3 linked regions of the Mus musculus genome follow. The protein of the gene in region 3 interacts with the protein of the main gene of each other region in a pairwise test. Links are inferred from orthologs where the notes say so. Each region holds a gene or a part of one and is shown on either strand. Other genes may lie near its edges. The genes, in order: Zbtb32, Mgat5b and Pitx1.

Region 1 (3,744 bases), on a different chromosome or scaffold from region 3:
GTGTGGAATACTGAGGGGCTTACCTGGAGTGGGGCTAGAGGAAGCCAGCTGATTCTGACTCCAGAGAGCTTTGGAGTGGTTCAAGGTCAGTGGGATCCTGGGTGGAGAAGAATTACAGTCTTGGCAAAGCCTGAGAACCTAACTGACTCTGGCCTGTCTTGTGATGACAATATTTGTTGTCTCTAACTCAGGAAATGTACACTGAACCCTTCCAACCATCACTGCTGCCTCTCCGGAGCCACTCCCTCCCTGCCTAGATGTCCTCCTTTAAGCCTCTCACTCACCTCTGATCTTGAGGCCGGACCTGCCAGGCCGCAGTGATGGGGGTACTATGGGAGAAGGGAGCACCGTATCTGGAGGGCCACAACAAGATGCTCCACAAGGCCGACTGGCCCTCCCCCAACCTAGGGACTTCAGCCCACCAGGGCCTGGGAATGAGGCTAGTTAGGAGGGAACCTGGTGGGGAAAGGGGATCAGGGCACCCACGAAGACTCTCCTCAGAGCCCTTGTGGCTCTCGATACCTCGCATGACCTCCTCTGAGCTCATCATCCTAGTTGCTCCTGCCATCTCAGGCCTCTCTCCGGGTGCTTTATGCTTGTGTGACATCTCCTGTTCTCTCCCATTACTTCTAAAATCCTTCTCTGGCTTCTGTTTCTCTCCAGGACTCCCAAGTCCTCTCTCAGAGCCCCTCATGAAGTCTTCTGATTGCTGGTGCCTCTTCAGTCCTGGATCCAGCTCATCTTCATCCTTGCCCTTTTGAGCTCTCTGACAGGCCTCTTCCAAGGCCTGTACCCCCAAGGCTTTGGCTGCCTCTTCAAGGTCCCCCAGCTCCCCAGGCTGTAGCTCTATACTCTCTCCATAGACAAAGGTCAGAATCTGAGCAAAGGTGGAAGGGCTTATGTCTTCAACCAGAGCCCACCGGCCCCTGCAGCCAAGCCTTGGGCTTGCACCTGCCAGCACTAGGCTGTGAGCCGGGAACTCCAGGCCCCCTACTGTGATCAGGGTATCACACAGTGCTGGCCGGAGTCTAGCCGCTAACTGTACCAACCTATCAGAGCCATATGGGCTGATTAGTCTTGTGGGGGTCTGGGGCATTGTTCCTGGCTAATCTACCAGTTTCACAGGCTCTGAGAGGAAAGCCACAATGGGGGATCCATGATTGAAGTGGGAGAGAAACCGCATACTCTCTGGCCTGTGAAGGGGAAGGGAGAAAGAGTGAGTGTCTGGGCTCAGATTGGTGCTGTCTGTCCTGAATGAATCAAATAAACTAAGCCAAAGGCCAGCTGTGGGGATGCCACACTAGGAGAATGCACACTGGGCCAGAGGTTAGGTTTGGGGCCTGAAGAACGACAGCCAGGCAGTTAGCAGAGGTATCAGATAGTGGGTTTAGGGCTGGTATAGTTAGCAAACACCCAGCTTAAGGAAGGTTTGGCTTCCCCAGGCTCTTTTGCAGGGAAAGCCTCTGAACAGCCTGGCCTTTTCCACACTTTGCATCAAACCTGGCATTTATGAATGGAGGAAGATGCGACCTCATGAGAGAGCTCAGACAGCTTTTGGGTCCTCCCCCAACATGAGCCCAGAAAGCCAGAGAAGGCATCAAGACAGCTCACATGGCAGGACAAAAGACTCTTAAGGCGTCACACAATTGTCTCTGCAAGACTGAAGCTTCTAGAATACACCCTCTGAGAAGGGATTGGAAAAGAGCAGAGATCTCCATCCAGTGGGTTAAGGGAGTCACACAAGAGTTTTAGAGAAGGCTTTGATGCCTGAGGAAGTGAAAGAAAGGAAAAAGAGACTGGGGAAAGGGAAGCTACTTCCTCTCACAAGGAGGATAAAGAATGGTTGAGTTCTGTTTTTCATAAGCCAAAAGACTAAGACTCAGAAAGTGCTCAACAAGTCAAGACTTTAATCACACATCAAAACCATCATGACACAGAGAGAGATAGCCTGCGAGTCTTAGCATCCTGCAGGCCTAGCTCGGTGTGGACCCTCCATGAGTAAGCAGCATGGTGGGGGAGGCAGAGAGAGGAATGAGGAACTACTTAGACACCTTGGAGTGAGGGATGCAGGGTGGCAGGAAGTAGAAAGAAGGTTGGAATGGAGGAAAAGCACAGCTGGGGAGAGGGATGGTAACTCACCTCTGTAGCTGCCTCCTAGTACCGCATGCTCACTACTGCTCCTGGGGTTCCTGCCCACCTACCCCCAGTTAGCTCCACCCCGTCCTCAGTCATCCCAAGTATTAGTCTGCCACAGTCCCCTAGAGGGGTGTGGCTTACTGTCTCTGCTTAGGACCTATAAGAGAGGCTACAGATCTACTTTTAACAACCCGGACTGCCTTGCCTCCTCAGTCTAATTCACTTGTGAGTTCTGTAGAGTCAAAGATGTGAACCTGTGGTGACAGGGACTTTGGGATAGTCAAGAGTTGAAGCCTCATCTCTGCCATTTACTAGTTGAGTCACCTTGGGCACGTCATCCCTCCCTCAGTCACCTCATGCATCAAGTGTCATGGTCTCGTCCAGAGGTGGGGGTGAAAATGAAGTGCCATGCATGAGGAAGCAGTCTGTGAGCACAACACAGCATTCAGCTGCTATTAGTTCTACATCCTGGAGGTGGCCATAGCAAGGAGTAGCTGGAAAAGCACTTGTGATACCTCAGAAGTGTAAGCATAGAAACACAGAATGGGAAGCAGCAGGCAGAGGAAAAGCCAAGGCTCCTCCTTTCCCTGGCTTAGTTCATCAGGCCCCCCTTCCTCTATGAGACTGACCCTTGTCCTCTGGACCACAGCAAAGACTAGGTGTGTGTGACTCAGATCCTCCCAGCAGACTCTGAGGGGGGCAACCCCAGGAAGCCTGTGGTGGTCTTCGAAGAGAAAAATCTCCTTTTCTTGGGCTGATGACAAATGACATTTCTCTGAAATCAAAACCAGGGGTTTCTTTCATTTTCTGCTCAAGGGGTCAAGGTCCCTAGAGATTTCCACCTCTTTTGACACCTTTAGCGCCCCCCCCCCATATGTCTTCTTCCTGTGTAGCTCAGGCTGGTCTTGAAATCTCTATCATCCTGTCTCAGCCAGTGCCACCACGCCCAGTTTTGATACTCTTTAAATTGAGGAAGGGATAAAAAGCCTTTGAAACTCAAATTTGTTTGTTTCCTTTTAATTTATTTTACTTATGTTTTGTTTTTTACCATTCTACCAATCTGATCCTAAGCTGCTCTTCTCATTCATGGCAGGTGTCTAATCTGTCATACATATGGAGTAAATACGGAGAGGAGAGACAGGCCAGACATTGGCTGGGCTGCTGTGGTGCCAGAATGAGCTGAGTCCCCTGAGGTTTCTCCCTAGCTTCTGGCCCCTCCTCGAGCCAATAACGAACAGTCAGATCTGTTTTTCCCCCTTGGCTCCAGGACTCCAAGATGTTCAGTCCAGCCTTCTATTACTCTATCCCTCCAGACCTAGGATGCCTTCCCTCCGATTCTAGCTTGGGTGCAGGCAGGTGGCGACCCTCCTAGATCAGACAGGGTGTGTCGGTGGGTGAGGCTGGTGAAGGGTTAGTAGGGTGGAGATAGGGGAAGATGAGTCAGAGCGAAAGGGAAAATGCAAATGGAACCCTGTGTTCATCTGCTCCTCTGAATGTTAAATATTTTCCACTTCTGAGCTTTCTAATTCCTAACATCATGCACTTGGGATCATACTAGATACTGCTATGTAAAAGGCATACTAAATGCCAGCCCTTCTGATAAATGTA
Region 2 (3,644 bases), on a different chromosome or scaffold from region 3:
TACCTCCTTTTCTGGTCCTCAGTTGTCGAGGGCTGGCTGACCTTGGCCCAGCCTCTCTCTCCCAGTTGTATGTCTCTAGCGTTCTGCTGCATCTTTAGGTTGGGGCAGGCCTCACGGCGAGATCTTGGGGACCCTGTGGCTAGGGGAGTCCATGCGGTGGTGTGTGGGTTCCTGGCTGCCTACCCAGGCCTGATGTTTTTCACAGTGGATGCGCGCCCGCTGGACCTCTGACCCCTGCTACGCCTTCTTTGGAGTAGACGGCACTGAGTGCTCCTTCCTCATCTACCTCAGTGAGGTTGAGTGGTTCTGTCCCCCGTTGCCCTGGAGGAACCAGACAGCTGCCCGGACAGCCCCCAAGTCCCTTCCCAGAGTCCAGGTAGGCCTAGATTGGATATCCTTAGGGACAGTGGGAGGGAGCCTCACTCCCACCCCCCCCCCACCTGACCCCATGGAATGGGGCTCCCAGCTCTGCAGGCTGAGGATCCCCAGATCATCTTCTGTGGAATCCAGTACAGGGAACTTGCTTGGGAGGCAAGAGACGTCCCCGGAGAAGTCCTTAATGGGTTAGAATAACAGCAATAATAGCTGTCATGTACCCAGGGCTTTCTGAGTGCATGGCACTGTATTTGTCCTTCTGTGAGTAGATGTAATGGGTGAAGATTCATGGACTTAGAGAGTTAACAGGTTCCAGGCACCACTGACCTTAGCACCACTCAAAGGCAGCTCACCCCTGGTGATTCAGGGCTGATTGGGTCCCCAGAGGACTCAGGGGTGGGTGGTTAACTGGGGAGGAGGGCTAGAGTGAGTATTGGAAGGTGCAAGCAGAGCCTCCCACCCTGATGCTGAAGCAGGCACCCACCTTACAGTAGGTGGCAGCTTCTGTCATGGGAAGCCGGGGATGGGACGGTGATGGGATGGATGGTCAGGGACTGAGAGAGCTGGCCTGTGGTCCCAACTTAGGCTGTGTTCCGAAGCAACCTGTCCCACCTCCTGGAGCTGATGGGCAGTGGGAAGGAGTCCCTCATCTTCATGAAGAAGCGAACCAGGCGGTTCACCGCACAGTGGACCAAGGCTGCCAAGTACCTGGCACAGAAGCTGGGGGACATTCGGAGGGACCAGAAGCAAGTATGTTATCCTTTCAGGGAGTGCTTGGACAATGTGCTTACTGCACTGGGGCTCTAGGAGGGCGTGGAACTCCAGGTGGAAATAGGCCTCCAGGTGGGAGTAGGTCTCCAGGTGGGAGTGGGCCTCCAGGTGGGAGTGGGCCTCCAGGTAGGATTGGGTCTCCAGGTGGGAGTGGACCTCCAGGTGGAAGTGGGCCTCCAGGTGGGAGTGGGTCTCCAGGTGGGATTGGGTCTCCAGGTGGGAGTGGACCTCCAGGTGGGAGTGGGCTCCAGGTGGGATTGGGTCTCCAGGTGGGAGTGGGCCTCCAGGTGGGAGTGGGCCTCCAGGTGGGAGTGGGCCTCCAGGTGGAGAGTGGGCTCCAGATGGGCATGGGTTTCCAGGTAGGCATGAGACACCAGGTGGGAATGGATCTCCAGGTGGGCATGAGGCACCAGGTGGGCGTGGCCATGAAGTTCCAAGTAGACACAGTTCTAAGTAGCCATGAGCCTGTGGTTCCCAACAGGCACAGGGTTTCAGGAGGTCACAGGTAGACAGGGAATTCTGGCTGGGCATGGTGCATGTCTTTGAACCAGTGACATTAGTTTCTTTTAACTGGATTCAGTCACAGGACATGAGGGTGACAGGGTTGAGCCCCTGGCCCCTTCTCAGGCTGGGCCAGCATGATCAGCCCCTGGAGGTCCTATGTCCTTGGGACATTTTCATCGTGTCAGGCAGAAAGGTTAAAGGGGTCCGGGAATAACAGACTGAGGAAGGATTGTTGGCCCAACTGTCCATCTGTCTGTCCATCCGTTTGTCCATATGTCCATCCATTCTTTTATTCACGTAACAGAGAACCGCATGCTTGTCACCTCCTTTCTGTCGGAGTCCTTGTCATTCATAAAACTCTGTCTTGTCTGTGTGTACTGCTGTCCATTCTTTCATCTGCAAGGTGAGCTCCACGAGGCAGTCGCACACCCACCAACACCTACGGCTCCAACATCTAGGGTCTAAAGGCAGTCAACCAGGCCTGGCCTGGAGCCCCTGTGTGCTATGCTGTGGGGTGATCCTGGGCTGGGGTATACAGACCTACGAGCTGCTTGCTGCTCTCCTCTGACCCCCCGCCCCCTCTGTCCTGCTCACCCAGATCCTTGTCCACATTGGCTTCCTGACAGAGGAGTCTGGGGACGTGTTCAGCCCAAGGGTACTGAAGGGCGGGCCTCTGGGAGAGATGGTACAGTGGGCAGACATCCTGGCTGCTCTCTACGTGCTGGGCCATAGCCTGCGGATCACAGTCTCCCTGAAGGAGCTGCAGAGGTGAGTGCCAGAGAGCCTTCACATCCTGGTGGGGTAGGGAGGGGATGAAGGGCAGCCTGGCCACCGGGCTGATGCTCTGCCTTTGGGGCCCACAGCCTGGAGGTGGCCCTCTGTCAGATGCCGGTACTCCCCGTTCCCTCCTCCACTTGCTTATGTGCTTCCCGCTTCCTCTTCCATGCAGACACACGTTTGTATTTAGAATCCACAGAGGAAGCGTGTTTGCATAGCAGCAGTCTGCAGGCTCTTGGCCTTTGCCAAGAGACTAGGGTTTGGGTCTGTGCTCATAGGCTAATGCATAATGTTTTGAGAGAGGAGTCACCATGTCCACATGAGGTCCCTGCCCCGAGGGTCTTCCTGGTAGGATGGGCATAGTCTTCAGGGGGTGTTTTTAGGAGCTGGACTCCTTGGGCATTCTACAAGGGCATTAGGGTTGACAGTGATGCTGACTGCCAGTGCTGGGCTTGTCCAGGTCCTTCTGGAACTGTGGAACATAGACACACCCCCACCCTGTGTGTGGTGGTGAAGAGGGTCTAAAAGATTGTTTGTGTGTGAGAATGGGGGTAGGGGTTGTCTGGAGAGTAAGAACATGTGGAATGCAAAGGAACTGGAGTGAGTGAGTGTGTGTGTGTGTGTGTGTGTGTGTGTGCTCGCGTACGTGTGTGAGAGAGGGAGACAGACAGATAGAATCAGAGACAGACAGCGACAGAGAGACAAAGTCAGATAGGTAGACAGACAGAGGAGTACTGGCAGATAGGAGTGTGTGTGTGTGTGTGTGTGTGTGTGTGTATGTGTGTGTGTGTGTGTGTGTGTGTGTGTGTATGTGTGGTTTTGTGTGTGTGCTGTTTGTGTGTGGGTGTTGTTTGTGTGTTTGTGGGTGTTGTTTGTGTGTGTGTGTGTCTTGTCTAATGTCTAATTGGGGTAATGTTTTTATCGCTCATCTGTTAGATGCAGACATAGCTAAGCTCTCTCTTACTTTATTTGTTATATTTCTTGTGTGGCGTTGGATATATACCAGGGTACATCTTTTAGATGTGCTTCTAGATATGTACTAATGCAGTTATGAGGTATGGGAACAAAATGACCCACTGTGCTGTGGCCATCCACTTCAGATAGAGACTATTACCAAGGACATCTGCCCAGCTATACCTGCCCTCAGCCATCCAGGAAACCTGTACTTTGAATTTTGTCTCGTGGGCCAGTCTCATTGACTCAGGGGAATGAGGAAG
Region 3 (3,744 bases):
TGCCGGTTCTCAGTAAGCACCCCTAGATCTGGCGTGCCACAGCAAAGAGCCCGGGAGCCACATCTGGGCCTGGGTTCCCAGCTAGGCAGGGCCTGCTTCTGCAGCTCGCTGGCTGCGGCCCTGCTGAGACTCTTGAAGGTCTAAATCTGAGCGGACACCTCAGCTTTCCTGAACGGGCATCAAAACTTTCCAGCTGAAGCTAGCATATCTGTGGGGTAAGAGCCATGTAGTCGCCTGGAATGTTGTTCTTGCCAGGGCTGTGTCAGAGCCGCAACTTAGCTTGGATCCCAGCCTTACCGGCCTCGGATTCTGAGGTCTAGAAAACCCTCCATTTGCAGCCTAGACAGACATATTCTGTCTAAGTGACCCGGGCCTCTCTGTCTCTTTAAAGCTACTCAAGATGCACACAGTAGTCAATAGCATTCAAACATAACGCAAAGGAACTACAAACCAAAACGGAGCCCTAGAAAAGCTCAGAGCTCTCTCCCTAGAAACAGAAAGGTGCACAAACCCTCAGAGCCAGGGAGGCAGAACCGGAGCAAATGTAGATCAAGAAGTCAAAACCGTTCCTGTGAACACACCCCTAAACTAAACACACAGCCAAATGTGTATAAACTCCAGTCAGATGGCCATTTCTCTGGGAAAAAGAATCTATGCATCACTGCAGGTAAATTTTAGATTCCCTCACACAAACACTGGGAGAGATACTTTCCAAACCCTAGATAAATACATTACAGCGAGATGATTTAAATTCACAAAATAAAACTGCTACGAATGGATTTTGATGGGGGGGGGGGGAATCTCAAAGAAATGCGCCATTTTGAATTGACTTTTAAAAAATCTCTCCAAGTAACTTGTGGCATGTAGGTTCTTTTAAATTTCAGAGAAATACTCCTAGTGAATTGTGTCAAAGGAAGCATACAGTTAAAATTGTTAATTTATCCCTGTAGATTTGATTTGAAAATCAATCTCTACAGGTTTTTTTTTTTTAAGCAAACACCACGCTTAAAACTTCTAAAAACAAAAGTACACTCAGAGCTTTGTTTTCTAACCAAGCAAACAGAGGTTGGAAAAAAGTCACTTAGAGATGCAAAACAGAAACAAATACCGATTAAATAAACGTGGAAGAGATGCCCAGGGCCCGGGATGGCTGTCCCAGGCAGCCTGGAGATCTGTGACTATTTGGGGTTGGGACCCCCCTCCCGTGCACAGCCGCTCCAAGACAGGACAGGCCTGGAAACGGACATGGCCGAAGCCACCCAATCTCGGGCCCAGCTCAAGAGATCGGGGTTGTTTTGTTTTGTTTTGTTTTTTAAAAGACAACTGGGGGATTTGTGGAGTCGAGAACCCACCCTGGCTGGACCCCTGGTGGCTCTGGGCTGAGGTGTCCACGTGGGCCAGGATCCCCGCTGCAGCAGGGTTCTGCCGGCTCTGCCGGGAGTCAGGCCGCGCCTCCTAGCTGGCTGGCTCTCGCTGTCCCCAGAGCTCGAGCTCGGCTTTACGGACCCCTCTCTTCTAGCCTGCTCTGTGACCCCACCTCTTCTTTTAGGATTCTTTCCTCCATCTGTCAAGGTGTCTCTTTGGGCACTTTGTCTGGCCACCCCTTCTACTCCCTGCACATCTGCTTCTCGCCCTGAGCCCCAGCGACTCCTCAGCAACCAGTTAGGGAAAACTCAACTTTTTTCTCCCGCGTGCTATCTGCTCCTGCTCCAGAGGGGCTGCCAGTCCCACTCAGGGCTTGGCGTGTGGGGGACTGTTTGGAAGTGACTTCGCGTGTGCGTGCGAACGCGCGTGTAAATTTCCGTGTTCATCGTCAGGTTAAGACCAGGGAGGAAAAAGAAAGCTCCTCGCTGCAGAGACGCAGAGGGGACCCGGCTGCGTGCCAAGCCGCCCGGTGTGCGCGGAGGCTGGATGCCCGCCGCGGGTTGGGGGAGCCGCGTTTACCTGGCAGATCAGCGTCGGACGATTCGCTGGCGGAGTTCTCCAGCGGCTCCCGGGGGTCGGCGGCGCGGGCCAGGTGGAAGCTGGGCCCCATGTCGTGCGGTGGTGGTGGCGGTGGCCGCAGCCCCTCCGGTAGCCTCTCCAGGCTCATGCCTCCCTTGAAGGCGTCCATGGAGGTGGGGACCGCAACGGGCGCTCCAGGGGCCGGGGCTGGGAGCTCCCGGCCGCCCAGGCTGCGACCTGTTGGGGACAAGAGAGTGGCGCCTAAGCGGCTGCCCCCCAGGGCTGCCCGCGCCCACAGCGACGCCGTTCGAGCTCCATCGACCTCTCCAGGCTGCGGGACCGGGTTCGGGGCTCGGGGCTCCGCCACGCGCTCCTGCTGCTCCGGCCTCAGCTGCCCGGCCGGCCCGGGCCCCAGTCCCGATTCGAGGCCGGTTTCTAAGGCTCGGGTCGGAGCCCGCAGAGTCTGTCTGAAAACGACAGTGCGCGCAGCCAGGTTCCAGCAGTCCCTGCGCCAGGGGTGGTGGGTGGGGTGGGCCTCGGTGGGAGGGGGCTGGGAGAGAAGGAGGGAGGGCGCGAGCGAGTGAGCAAGCGAGCGAGGGAGCGGGCGCGGGCGGAATCCAGCCTCGAGCCGCCCGCGCCGCGCCCTCCCCGCCGTCCTCCCTCCCTCCCTCTCTCCCTCCCTCCCTCCTGGCCTCGCCCGCGCCCTCCCCGTCGCAGCCACCTTCCCGCCGCCTCACCTCCCCCCCTCTCCCGCGGCCTCACCGCGCCTCTCCCTCCTTCCCCGGTGACACACGAATTTCTCCCTTGGCCGCACAAAAGAAACGCATCTGGCCAGCTAGCCCCGGGCGGCTGGTGCACACCTTGGGGGCCCCAAGTGACTTGTTTCGCTGAGAGTCAACTCCTGTCTGGGCCACCTCAAGTCCCCAGCCACGGGAGAGAACAACTTAGAATGAGTGAAGGTTCGCTGAGCAGGATCGCTCTGAGCCGGCGCCTCCGAGCCAGCGCCAGGGCAGTCAGTGGCAGAGCCGGGGGGCCGGTTCCCGGTTGCTGCAGCTCCCAGCGGTGGTGTCGTCCTCGAGGGGCAGACGGGCCCCTCCTACCTCAGTCGCTTCTCCCAGGAACTCGGGGCCGGCTGAGTGACAGCAGCCTGCGAGCTCTAATGGGCCCCGGATGCTGTCTTCTAATTAGTTTGGACCCTCTCCCCTAAGGCTGCTCTCATGGCCTTCCTCTCTGCACCGCAGTCAATTTTCCGGAATTGGGGTAGAGATGACGGCTTCTAATCAGACGAAACGTTTCTGTTGGCTCTAGGCCATGGCGAGTGGGACTGGAGACCCCAAGAGCCCCACCAGGCCCGTGGCCTTTCCACATCCCCCTTTGTTTTGCACCTACAATGATCAGGTCTTTGGCAGCCACCAGGTAGGCCTTGCCAGCCTCTGCCCTCCTTTAGGGTAACTTTGCTCCAGTGTGGGGCCTACTTTCTGAATTCTCAGGGCTTCAGCAGAGGCCTGGTAGGCCAGGTGACTGATGTCTCACAACCCTGGGCTGGGAGCTTAGGAAGCCTTTGGGTTTTCTCCCGATACACTGCTAGGAAACTGTAGCTCCAGAGCTCCCCCCTCCCCAAGCAAAGACTTTACCCTCTAGGCTCACAAGAGTGGTCCCCTCCTTAGCTCCTCACGCTCCAATGAAGTTTGTCCAAGGATTTTATCCAACAATTGTTAACTGGCCCAGGGACTTCAGCTTCTTGAGTAAACAGGTCACAACTGAGGTGGCCCTGACCTGCCTCTGTAGCCACGGAGGACC

What was found.
Region 1: the proteins of Pitx1 (region 3) and Zbtb32 interact in a two-hybrid assay, tested with the Homo sapiens proteins (2 studies listed by BioGRID). The link is inferred for Mus musculus from reciprocal best matches to the Homo sapiens genes PITX1 and ZBTB32.
Region 2: the proteins of Pitx1 (region 3) and Mgat5b interact in a two-hybrid assay, tested with the Homo sapiens proteins (2 studies listed by BioGRID). The link is inferred for Mus musculus from reciprocal best matches to the Homo sapiens genes PITX1 and MGAT5B.

What each region holds. Positions count from the first base shown.
Region 1 is NC_000073.6:30,590,773-30,594,516, forward strand, and holds the start of Zbtb32 (zinc finger and BTB domain-containing protein 32), read right to left. Parts: upstream 2,171-3,744; 5' UTR 2,140-2,170; exon of another isoform or gene 1,194-2,139; 5' UTR 1,097-1,193; coding exon 285-1,096; intron 98-284; coding exon 24-97; intron 1-23. UniProt on the Homo sapiens protein: DNA-binding protein that binds to the to a 5'-TGTACAGTGT-3' core sequence. May function as a transcriptional transactivator and transcriptional repressor. Probably exerts its repressor effect by preventing GATA3 from binding to DNA.
Region 2 is NC_000077.6:116,946,267-116,949,910, forward strand, and holds part of Mgat5b (alpha-1,6-mannosylglycoprotein 6-beta-N-acetylglucosaminyltransferase B), read left to right. Parts: intron 1-205; coding exon 206-376; intron 377-960; coding exon 961-1,125; intron 1,126-2,248; coding exon 2,249-2,418; intron 2,419-3,644. UniProt on the Homo sapiens protein: Glycosyltransferase that acts on alpha-linked mannose of N-glycans and O-mannosyl glycans.
Region 3 is NC_000079.6:55,828,828-55,832,571, forward strand, and holds the start of Pitx1 (pituitary homeobox 1), read right to left. Parts: upstream 2,599-3,744; 5' UTR 2,114-2,598; coding exon 1,945-2,113; intron 1-1,944. UniProt on the Homo sapiens protein: Sequence-specific transcription factor that binds gene promoters and activates their transcription. May play a role in the development of anterior structures, and in particular, the brain and facies and in specifying the identity or structure of hindlimb.